3 linked regions of the Mus musculus genome follow. The protein of the gene in region 1 purifies or fractionates together with the protein of each later gene. This does not show direct contact. Links are inferred from orthologs where the notes say so. Each region holds a gene or a part of one and is shown in the gene's direction. Other genes may lie near its edges. The genes, in order: Cd151, Itgb1 and Itga3.

What was found.
Region 2: the proteins of Cd151 (region 1) and Itgb1 purify together in Homo sapiens (affinity purification with western blotting; 4 studies listed by BioGRID and IntAct, with this or other methods). This does not show direct contact. The link is inferred for Mus musculus from reciprocal best matches to the Homo sapiens genes CD151 and ITGB1.
Region 3: the proteins of Cd151 (region 1) and Itga3 purify together in Homo sapiens (co-immunoprecipitation; 4 studies listed by BioGRID and IntAct, with this or other methods). This does not show direct contact. The link is inferred for Mus musculus from reciprocal best matches to the Homo sapiens genes CD151 and ITGA3.

Annotation. Positions count from the first base shown.
Region 1 is NC_000073.6:141,465,832-141,470,261, forward strand, and holds the start of Cd151 (CD151 antigen), read left to right. Parts: upstream 1-1,530; 5' UTR 1,531-1,635; exon of another isoform or gene 1,636-1,940; intron 1,941-2,587; 5' UTR 2,588-2,715; intron 2,716-2,957; exon of another isoform or gene 2,958-3,065; intron 3,066-3,423; 5' UTR 3,424-3,430; coding exon 3,431-3,514; intron 3,515-3,634; coding exon 3,635-3,826; intron 3,827-4,105; coding exon 4,106-4,180; intron 4,181-4,289; coding exon 4,290-4,394; intron 4,395-4,430. Other genes in the region: Cracr2b (EF-hand calcium-binding domain-containing protein 4A), read left to right, coding at 1-6, 215-392. UniProt on the Homo sapiens protein: Structural component of specialized membrane microdomains known as tetraspanin-enriched microdomains (TERMs), which act as platforms for receptor clustering and signaling.
Region 2 is NC_000074.6:128,720,083-128,723,727, forward strand, and holds part of Itgb1 (integrin beta-1 precursor), read left to right. Parts: coding exon 1-50; intron 51-192; coding exon 193-392; intron 393-2,301; coding exon 2,302-2,540; intron 2,541-2,727; coding exon 2,728-2,950; intron 2,951-3,645.
Region 3 is NC_000077.6:95,066,655-95,070,299, reverse strand, and holds part of Itga3 (integrin alpha-3 isoform 1 preproprotein), read left to right. Parts: intron 1-1,101; exon of another isoform or gene 1,102-1,347; coding exon of another isoform or gene 1,348-1,460; coding exon 1,461-1,588; intron 1,589-1,995; coding exon 1,996-2,075; intron 2,076-3,645.

The DNA of each region.
Region 1 (4,430 bases):
GCTGAGGTGGGTCAGGCCTGCCTGGGCTAATGGGAAGTGGTTTCAAGTTTCCAGATAGTATTGGCTCCTACCCATGTTGCTGGAAGTCCTTATGTCTGCCCTATAGCCTTCATGCGGCTGGCTCTGTAGTCCTCTTGACTCAGGGAAGGCATCTCCCCCATGCACTTTTTCCTCTAGATCTTAGCCTCCTCGGTCTCCTACCTCTCTTTTCTAGGGAGCTGAATCTGAGGCTTCGAGATGAGAGAGATGCCTGTGAGACCAAGCTGCTGGGCAGTAGCCACAGGAAGGCTCTAGCTATTGCCCACAAGCCCGGACCCATCTACTGCTGCTGCTGCTGTGGCTGGGCTCGGCCCCCCAGACGAGGCTCTGGCCATCTTCCTAGTGCCCGATGACCAGCCCCGAGTGACTCACTTCCCTATCCAGAGGACTGCCCCTAGGAGGGACTGGTCTTGGTGGCGGATACTTGCTAAGTGTGTGGCTCTACCCAGAAGGCATCCCATGCCTGAAGGAGCTAACCTCAGAGTAGTCAAGGCCTTCAGTCCTTCAGTCTTTATCCTGTCTTCCTTTTTTTTGGGGGGGGGGGTTTCGAGACAGGGTTTCTCTGTGTAGCCCTGGCTGTCCTGGAACTCATTCTGTAGACCAGGCTGTCCTCGAACTCAGAAATCCGCCTGCCTCTGCCTCCCGAGTGCTGGGATTAAAGGCGCGTGTGCCACCACGCCCGGCTATCCTGTCTTCCTTAATCTTTGTCTGAAGGACCAATAAAGGCCATTGTATACTGTGTACTCCTTGGCTCTTGTGTGTTTGGGAGCCACGGTGCATTTGTGGTTCATGCTTGGTATCCATGGCACAAGGTGACATGGAGGGGTTTACAGGTGCACATTAACCCCTTCGTTCCTGCAGCTGGGGGTTCCTGTGTGCTTGTGTGTGTTCTGTGATTCTGGATATTCACCAAGCCCTCACCCATTCCTCCCAGCTGAAGCTCCCAGGACTCAGGTTTCAACAGGTGTCCGCTCCCACGCTAGTCCACACGTGGAAGGTCCCGCTCCTCACCTCCGTGGTCAGCTAGCTTTCTGGTCCAGGTCCTTTATCCATCATCCTTTGGCACAGTTCCTAGCCAGACCATATGCCACCCACACTGGGCACCTCTCGCAGGGCCCTCATGTCTCTATGGAATCTTCTGGCACCCTCCACACTGTATCTGGAGTTTCCCCTCTAGCATTTCTTCAGCCGCTAGAACCTGCAGCTTTAGAGTGGTTCTCCCGGCTTAGACTAGAGAAACTGGTCTTGACCTCAGTTCTGGACCTCTGGTGGGCTAGGTGCCACCTTCCCCACCTCTTCGCTCCCCACCTGGGTTCTACCTCTGGTCTAGCTCCTCTGTCTCTGGGCGAGTTGGGGCTTTTGATGACAAACGGGGCACCTTTAAACTAACTTTACAGACCCACAGGTCTCTCTGGCGCGCGCCTTAGCACCAAACCAGTTAGGACTTGCCTGCCCAGGCCGGCCGTGGGCGGGGCTGCGCCCGGGGCGGGGTCGCGCGCAGGGCGTGTCCTCGCAGGCCCCGGGCCGAGCGTTCTCTGTACTCCGAGTGATCGCTCCTACCGTGGCTGCCGGGGCTGGTATTTCAAAGCGTGGTTGGTGAGTGCTCCGTGAAGCATAGCCGGAGGGTGTGGGGAGCAGTGTCCTGAGTTCCTCGCTCACTGGTGTTCCTAGTCTCCAAGCTGGCCTCAGGGACGCCCAGGAGGCAGAGCCTGAGGTAGGACAGGGTTGCAGACTCCTTTCCGGAAGATCGACGCCGGGGCCGGGCAGTTAGAAGGCCGGAGGGGGAGGGGTGAGGGAGAGAGCTTCTGTGGTTCTTGAGCAGGCCTGACGGTCTCTTTCGTGCAGAAACCCAGAAATTTAAAAGTCTGACCACCCTATTCATTGTCCCTGGACACCGGTTCCCTCCCCTGAGACCGCAGGTCCGCCCACTGGCACGGGGCGGGGGAGGGCGGCAGGGGCGGTGGTGACTTCATCTCTGTGACGCGGGGATTCCTCGCCCAGCCCACTTCAGTGTTTAATCGGGTCGGTGGGGCGGGTGCCGAAGGCCCAGGACAGGTCCAGGAGCTAAGTGTAGGGCGGTTGTGTCCAGGCCGCAGGAGCTATTTCTGGCTGGTCCAGGCTCTCACACCGGCACTTTCACAGAGAATTTACATCCAGTCTGCTGATTGTCTCTTGGCTTAGGTTGATGGATGTGTCTAAAAGCCCATAGATTCTGGGCTTTTAGAGCCTGGCCCCGGGGGTTTGCATTGTGGCCAGGCTTCTTTATGTCATTGCCCGCTTTCAGTGAGGCAGCATGCATTTTTGGGTCCCATCTCCAAATAGAGCTCTGAAATCTCTCCCACTTTCCAAAATGGACAGTCGATGCATCCTCCTTCAGTTTGCGGTCGCTGCTGTTTGGTGGGGGAGGGACTGTGATGGATGGGACTGGAAGGTGGGGCACTTGGAGAAGGCATTTGGTCCCTCCCTAGATCAGGCAGGTCAGCCATGTTCTTTGGCCTGCCGCCGTCCAGTAGAAAACAGCAGGCCTGCCTGTTATGCTTCCTTGCAGATCTGGTGGCTCTGAGAACCATTTTGACCACTGCTTAAGCTTCTGTAGTTGGAGTGGCAAGATCCCACCTGCTAGGTGAAGGGCAGAGAGTGACTTTTGACCTGTACCTGCTGGTCCTGACTTGAGAGGTGAGAGCTGGTGCCTGGGCAGAGCCTCAAGGCCCCTGGCTAACAGTTCTGCTTAGGTGTGTGTCTGGGAATCTGACCTGCGTCAGCCGAGGTCTGTACACTGTCCTCAGTCAGACAATAGTGTGTCTAGGGCAGGGTGTGACTAGGGGACTCCTGGAGGAGTGGCACATTCACATATGTGGAACTGGGACCTCCCCCTACAGTCGGGAGGAGAGCTGGTTGTACAGGCTCCACCTACCGGCATCTTATTGTCTCTGCCCTGGCTGGTAGTAGAGTCAGCTCAGAGTCCTCACAAACTGTCCCTTAGGGTGGCCTGAGCTCTCTGCCATATCTGGGAACGGGTATGAGTGGTAAGTACCTAGCAGCCTGATTGTGGGACTCAGGGAATGCTTGGGGGTGCCGATCAACAGGAATGTACCCTGAAGGTCTGCTGGTGCTTCCCCCCCTGTTGCCAGCAGGAGTGAGTCAGCAGATGTTGGGGGGTCCTCCATGATAACCCACCATGTGTCTGGCTGTGAGGAGGTTAGTTCAGGAAGTGACTCATAAGGTTCCTGGGAATGCTCCTCTGAGGGCAGATAGCTGGCTGAGCTCCAAACTGCAATCATCCGGGGACTGCTGGATCTCCTCCTGTCTCCGTTGGTAGATAGCTTTCTTCCTACTTGGAGGCCTGGTGCTTCAGGCCATCTGACCTCCTCCCCGTTCCTCTAGGCCCAGGATGGGTGAATTCAATGAGAAGAAGGCAACATGTGGCACAGTCTGCCTCAAGTACCTGCTCTTTACCTACAACTGCTGCTTCTGGGTGAGAAGAGCTAATTTCTCCCTGCATCCCTAGTCCCCATGTTGGAGGCCTGGCCTGGGGGGCTCAGTCCCAGCTTCCAGACCCAGGCCAGATGTGGTGACCAGTATATACTTTCTGCAGCTGGCCGGCCTGGCTGTCATGGCAGTGGGCATCTGGACACTGGCCCTCAAGAGTGACTACATTAGTCTGCTGGCCTCAAGCACTTACCTAGCCACGGCCTACATCTTAGTGGTGGCTGGTGTTGTTGTCATGGTGACTGGAGTCCTGGGCTGCTGTGCCACTTTCAAGGAGCGACGGAACCTGTTACGCTTGGTCAGTGGGGCATGGTGGCACACGGTGGGGCTAGGGGTGCCTTGCATGGATTTCTCAGGGGGCCTCTGGTACTGGTTCTGGGGACTTAACTGGTTGAGTGTATTACTGCAGGCTGTCCCTGTTGGGGCAGACACGAGCTTCAGAACTATGAAGGAGCTAGGCAGCCCCAGAGTGTAGCTCCTAACTGAATTCCTCTTGCTTGGCCTCCTGGGTTGGGGGCTTGGCTTTGTGGTACTCTGGCACTAGCAACCCCCCACTTACTGGGTCCCTGCTCCCTAGTACTTCATCCTGCTCCTCATCATCTTCCTCCTGGAGATCATTGCTGGCATCCTGGCCTATGTCTATTATCAGCAGGTAAGGGCCTGGACAGGCCATGGGGTGTGCCTAGAACATGGCCCTGTCAGTCCCATTGGAGGTCCTGGCTCCAGCTTTGCCTTTGCCCAGAGTTTGATCCTACCCACAGCTGAACACAGAGCTCAAGGAGAATCTGAAGGACACCATGGTCAAGAGATACCACCAGTCAGGCCACGAGGGTGTGAGCAGCGCTGTCGACAAGCTGCAGCAAGAGGTGGGTGCCCCTAGAACTGCCCGCCCTCTCGGCATG
Region 2 (3,645 bases), on another chromosome or scaffold:
GGACAGGAGAAAATGGACGAAAGTGTTCCAACATTTCTATTGGAGATGAGGTATGTTGTATGACCGTTTTCTGTGAAAAAGAAAAACATGCATAAAAATGTGGGGCTGGAGAGATGGCTTAGCAGTTAAAGCACTAGCATTTGAAATATTTTCATGTTCATTGCTAAATTTATTAATCTTTTTTCCTTTAAGGTTCAATTTGAAATTAGCATAACTGCTAATAAATGTCCAAATAAGGAGTCTGAAACCATTAAAATTAAACCTCTGGGCTTCACTGAAGAAGTAGAGGTCGTTCTTCAGTTCATCTGTAAGTGCAATTGTCAAAGCCATGGCATCCCAGCCAGTCCCAAGTGCCATGAGGGAAATGGGACATTTGAGTGTGGAGCCTGCAGGTAAGTGCAGCCTTGCTGCAGCACAACAGACAGTATAGGCCACTTTATCTGGGAAGCCTGTATAAAATAAAGACACAAATCCTTTGCTCCAGTCACTCATATACTCTTAAGGATCTCTCTGTTCTTAAGCTTTTAGCTAGGTAAGCAGTGTGTCCACTGTCTCTCAGGGCAGCATTTGGGCTTTGTTCTCTGAATGGCACTTCCAGTTCTTGACAGCAAAATACATTGAAAAGAAAAGGTAGATAGAAACATTTTTGTACAAACTGTCAATGGTGACTGTATTAGTCAGGGTTTTACTGCTGTGAATAGACACCATGACCAAGGCAAGTCTTATAAAAACAACATTTAATTGGGGCTGGCTTACAGGTTCAGTCAGAAGTTCTGTCCATTATCATCAAGGTGAGAGCATGGCAGTATCCCGGCAGGCATGGCGCAGGAGGAGCTGAGAGTTCTATGTCTTCATCCAAAGGCTTCTAGTGGAAGACTGACTTCCAGGCAACTGGGGTGAGGATCTTATATCCACACCCACAGCGACACACCCATTCCAACCAGGTCACACCTATTCCAACAAGGCCACACCTTCAGATGGTGCCACTCCCTGGTCCAAGGATATACAAACCATCACAGTGACTTTTTAAATTTTGTTTTATTTTGGATGACCCTAAATTTATGATCTTACTGTCTCAGTACTTGGGTTATAGGCAGAACTCAATACTCTCAGTGTTAAATGACAGTTTTATCTGTGACTTAGTTAACAAGAAAAATGTTTACCATGTCCAGGATTAAATTTTGTATTTCTGGGATAAAAATAAAATAGTACTTAAAGTTTACATTTATGTATGTATGTATGTATGTATGTATGTATATGTGTGTATGTGAGTGTGTGTGTATACCCTAGTGTCTTGGCACAGGCTTGTGGTGAGAACAGTTGTAAGAGTTGGTTCTCTGTCTACCTTGTGAATCCTAAGGTTGTCAGGTTTGGTGACAAGTACCTTTACCTTCACCAGACTTCTTGGCTACTTTTTATGTTAAAAACTAAACTGTGTTTGTAATACAGCCTTTTCTTTAAAGTAATAGAACCTTTTAATCTAAATGTCAGTCTCACATCACAGTGGTTTTGTTTATTGGCCCAAAGAAAAATGAATAGCTAATGTTTACTATTAATTGCCCATTTTAAGCAATGATTTAAATATTGTGTTTTTTCTGTTATATTTAACTTGAGACATTAAGATATCTTTTTGTTTAAACAGCATTTTATCAAAAAGGATTTTTTAAAAATTCTTTGTCTTCTTTTTGATTAGCATATGCAAAATCAGTTTATCCAGTGTCCAAGAACATGCTCCAAGATATGTAGGATATTTTAGAAGTCTAGATCTGTGCAGTAAACTTACCCTTAGTTAAAGCTAGTACTATTTTCAGTTTGTGTACTTTATGTATTTTTCAACTTTTGGGGTTGCATTCATTGCTATTTTTTATCCTAACAGACCCTTGCTTCAAATTTAGTGGCAGGTAGTCTGTAACAATAATATAATTGAAAATATTTGAGAATCTAGCCCTGCAAATTGATACATTCCTTTATTCCCCTGCATTTGGGAACTAGAGGCAGGCAGACTCTGTGGTCAAAGTTAGCCTGGTCTATTTTTCTATTTTTCTAGTTGTTTTGTTGTTTGTTGCTGGAGTATGCTTTCATTTTGCTCAGAGTGGTTCCTTGCTAAAGGTAAATTTTCCCCAAGGCTCCTGTATGTTCTATAAGAACTTGAGTTGCTACTTGCATGTGTGTATATATAAACACAGTGGACTTATCTTATGTTTGTACATGTGGAGTGAGCATCCCTACTTGATACTTTGCTAATGTGAGGAAATTGTTACACTTTTTGTTTTATGTGACTGTGTTTGGATCTTTCTGCAGGTGCAATGAGGGGCGTGTTGGGAGGCACTGTGAATGTAGCACAGATGAAGTGAACAGTGAAGACATGGACGCTTACTGCAGGAAAGAGAACAGTTCGGAAATCTGCAGTAACAATGGAGAATGTGTCTGTGGACAGTGTGTGTGTAGGAAGAGAGATAATACAAATGAAATTTACTCTGGAAAATTCTGCGAGTGTGATAACTTCAACTGTGATAGGTCTAATGGCTTAATTTGTGGAGGTGGGTAAGCACCAGCAGTAGCTACACACATAGTTCCTCTAATGAGATCAGATATCTGAGAGTCTCTGGGTTAACACACAGAAGGGGAGGGGCTTTCTTCTATGTTGTGGCTTGTTTTTAATTTGTGAATAATTGCTGTGATTATACATTTTACCATTGTTTTGAGAAATGATCTTTTTCGTTGCAGGCAATGGCGTGTGCAGGTGTCGTGTTTGTGAATGCTATCCCAATTACACTGGCAGTGCATGTGACTGTTCTTTGGACACTGGTCCATGTCTAGCGTCAAATGGTCAGATCTGCAATGGCCGGGGTATTTGTGAATGTGGTGCTTGTAAGTGCACAGATCCCAAGTTTCAAGGGCCAACTTGTGAGACATGTCAGACCTGCCTTGGCGTCTGTGCAGAGCATAAGTAAGTACTGCCAAAGTGTTTCACATAGTCACATTCACTTTACTGACCCTACACCACTAGAGCCAGAGGAGAGTGCTGATAGAGTATACTTCAAAGAGAATATTTGCTGCCTTTTATGTACCATTTTTTATGTCCTAAAAATTCTTAATTGTGTAACAATGAAGTGTGCCATGAGAGTTGTACTATTTTTTTTGTTGTTGTTTGTTTTTAATCTGAAATCACTGTATAAGTTTGCTGTTAGTTGGCAATACTATCCTCTGTTTTTAAGGTTTAGTGGTAGAGATAAAACAATGAACTCTACCATAGAGGAATATTCTCTAGTCTAGTTGCTATCTTTTGCTTCAGGAGAATGGAAGGTGAATTATTATACCAATACTGCTTAAGTTATTGTGGTTTTTATGTTACAAATTTAATGTGACATAGGTCCAGTTTTATTAACTACATCTTAATTTTGTGTTGTGAAGATTTATATGCATACATGTGAATGTATGTATGTGTGTGTGGGCTATCACCAAGGGCTTAGAGTAGATTTTAATATATGTCCCCCACGTCTGCAATGTGCTACTTGTTGGTCTTAGACATACCTGTTAGAGGTTTGTCATGGACATGCTGGTGTCTTTACAAAAAGGATTCACAGTGTAGGCCTAATTGGCATCTGTGTAGCAACCATAGCTGTGCTCTGGATGCCAGGGTCT
Region 3 (3,645 bases), on another chromosome or scaffold:
TCAGGTCCAAAGCAGAGCTGTAGGTACAGCCATTGCTCAGCAGTTCCATACTGGCCAGAGGCCTGGAGCCTGGGAGCCTCGGGGCCACAGTGTTGCTGGGACAAACTTGGGAAGTGCTGCTATCCAGAAAGCTGAGTTGGCAGGAAGGTGGCAGAGGGCATGTTCTAAGAAGAATATTGATAGGGAGAAGATAGAAGGAAAAACTTGGGTCTGAAGCTGGGCTGACTGCCCCAGATACTATTCATATAGCCTGTGGTAGTTAGAAATTTTCCTTTATAAATACCCAGGGATTGTCTGAGATAGGATTTCAGGACCGATCCCCTGTCTGCCCGGCCTAAGTCACCCTTTTGGTGTGGGATGGGACTCTAGGGTCCTAGCCCCCTTGTGGGAATTTCTTGGTGTCCCTAAAGGTAGATTCTGAGGACAAGGTGACAGATAGCTCTTGTCCACTCCTACCACTAGAACCCTGTTCTTGGGCCACACTGGTATCCAGCCCCACCCCATACCGGTGTGCCTGTCTCCAGGTGGGGGTGGGGCGCGTGGAGGCCTCACTCAGCTCACCTGGAAATCTCTGCCTCGCAGAGCTATGTGCTTGAGAGTCTCAAGAGGAGAGATCCAGGCTTCCAACAACCCATCCATCCTTACACAGCTTCTCTCTTCTGCCTTCTCTGATACCCCCAGGCCTGGAACTCATAACTCTCATTCCTTCACAACTACCTTTACTTCTGAGGCCAAAGAATCCCTTTAAGAACCCACAGCTGGGGCTGGGAACGTAACCTCATCTGGCAGAGTGCCTATCTGGTACTTTTTCTGGAAGCTCTGGATTAAATTCCTAGCACTACCTAAATCCGGGCAGGGCGGTACATACCTGAAAATCCAACACATGAAAGGTGGAAACAGGAGGGTCAGAAGTCCCAGGTCGTCTTTGGTTGAATAGGGAGTATCCTAGCCTGGGCTACATGAGGCCCTGTCTCAAAAAGAGAATGAAATAAAGAAAACCAAGTCGCTGCCTTGCCCGGGGTCCCTTCTGTGGTTCCTCTAAGGTCTTTGTCCTGGCTTGTATGCCTCCCCCAATATTCTTTCTGGGTTCCCGTTGTCCAGAGGGCTGGTGCCTGAATCACTGGCTTGCTCATGCTTCCTGGCCCCTGTACATATTGTACCCCTGTCTCTGCTGTCCTTCCTCCCTTTATCATTGGGTGACCCCTGGCTATTGTCCTTACTCTGAGGCCAGGGCACCTTGTGTACAGACCTCCATGCTTTCCCTGTGAGATCCTTACGGCGTGTGAGCTTCCTGGCCCACTTTCCTCTGTGGTCGGCCCTCCTGGAAGACAGAGGCAAGGTTTATCGATGTCCTATCTCCAGACATTGGTATGGAGCCCATGTTCAGAGAGTGTGGATTTGCAGGCTGACTGGAGGGAGGCTTGCAAAGCCAGGCTGACCCACCCGCCTTCCTTTTCCAGCCTTCTGGCCGGGGCTCCCCGGGACCTCGCTGTGGGTGATGACTATACCAACCGGACTGGTGCTGTGTACCTGTGTCCCCTCACGGCCCACAAGGACGACTGTGAACGGATGGACATTTCAGAGAAAAGTGAGACGAGCCTGAGGGCAGAGCTAAGTCGGGAGCCTGGCAGAGGGGGCCCAAAGGGGAGATACGAGGTTAGCTTGTTAGGGAGGCAACATTTGAAGCTAAGGGGAAAAGACAGCGAGATCAAGGCTAGATCTACTATGGGCTACATAGTGGGTTGCAGAATAGCTTGAGATGTAAAATGGAGATCCTGGCTCAAAAAGCAAAACAAAACAAAACAAAAAAGCAGCGCTGATTTCTTTCTCATCCGTCTGGGAAGAGGAACAGGAAAAAGGGAAGATCATATACAGTGTGAGCTCAGAGCAGTGACAGACAGGACAGAGAGCTGCTGCCCTCAGGAGGCTTTGGATGCTGGAGTATGGAGTAAGGGGGTAAGGGACCGGAGCTCGTGATCTCTCCCATTCTTACAGGTGACCCTGACCATCACATTATTGAGGATATGTGGCTTGGAGTGACTGTGGCCAGCCAGGGCCCTGCAGGTAGAGTCCTGGTAAGTGAAGGCTTAATATCATCTCCCCCGAGCCAGGGAGGACGGCAGAAGTGGTCGGGCGGGGATCCACTGATGACTGGGGCCTTTGCAAATGTCCACTTCTGTTTTTTTAAACAGATTTATTTATTTACTTATTCTATGTAAGTACACTATAGCTGTCTTCAAACGCACCAGAAGAGGGCGTCAGATCTCATTACGGATGGTTGTGAGCCACCATGTGGTTGCTGGGATTTGAACTCAGGACCTTTAGAAGAGCAGTTGGTGCTCTTAACCGCTGAGCCACCTCTCCAGCCCCAGGCCTCGTATCTTTACAGGCCTGTGGGTTCTCTGATCCCTGAACTCTGGGGAGAGGGTTGTCTGGTACTCTCCCGAGGCTGGACATGGCGTGGGTCCTGGGCGACCTGCATGGATGCTCACCATCCGTGGGAAAGAGCAGAGAGAACTTGGAGGGAGAAAGGGCAGAGAGTGCCTCAGGCAGTTGGGCGCTGGCAGGCGTTCCTTCCTGGGAGGCTGGCTGCCGGAAGAGGCACAGCCCTGATGGCCCTGGCTCACCCTGGCACTGATTTGAGTGCCACTCCCTGCTGTCAATTGTCACCTTCTGCTGCTGACAGTTCTTCAATATCAGCCCTTGGGAATCTCAATTTCTGTGTCCCGGATAGACATTATTTAAGTTTATATAAAATTTACCTATAGTGAAAAGGGCAGATTTTCTATGAGCTCTGACCAATGATAAGCCTATGTCAGTAACACCCATGAAACAGAGCATACTTACATCACCCCAGAAAGTTCTCTGAGCCACCTCCGAGTGGTCGCCACTCCTATAATCATCACTACTGTGATTTCTGTCCCGAGAACGCTATTGTAAGCTTTGGGCTGTCAGTCAGTTCATGAGACCACCCTTCTGTACCCCCTGTTGTTTGTGGGTGTGTGTCTCGAAGTTTGTTTAAGTGGTTGAAGACGCTAGGATTAGCTCCTTACCCACCCTTACTCGGTCAACAAATATTTAGCTAAGCACCAGAGATTTAGCAGTGCCTAAGGATAAGCTCATGTGAAATGCTGGTGGTGTTTACAGCTGGGATGTAACAGAAAAAGTCACTAAACAAGAACACCCCCTGTTTCTAGATACTGTATAGCCCAGAGGCTAATTCACAGCACTTTCTGTGTAGCCACGGTTGCCTGGAACTCACTGTGTAGACCAGGCTAGCTTCAAATCCAGAGATCTGCCTGCCTCTGCCTCCCAATGCTGGATTTGACTCCAGTTCCCCGGAATCTGATGCCCTCTCTTCTGCCCTCTGCAGGTGCCAAGCACATACATGGTACACAGACATGCATTCAGGCAGAATACCTCTACACAAAAAATAAGATTAAAAAAATTTGAAAGTTGCTATGAGAGAAGAGCTTGTGCTTGGTGTATAAGGAAGTGCTCAGGAAGTGTTAGCTTAGCCGGGTGGTAGTAGCACAGAGGCAGGTAGATCTCTGAGTTCAAGGCCAGCCTGGTCTACATAGGGAGTTCCAGGTCAGCCAGGGCTATACAGAGAAATCCTATCTCAAAACAAACAAATAAGCAAAC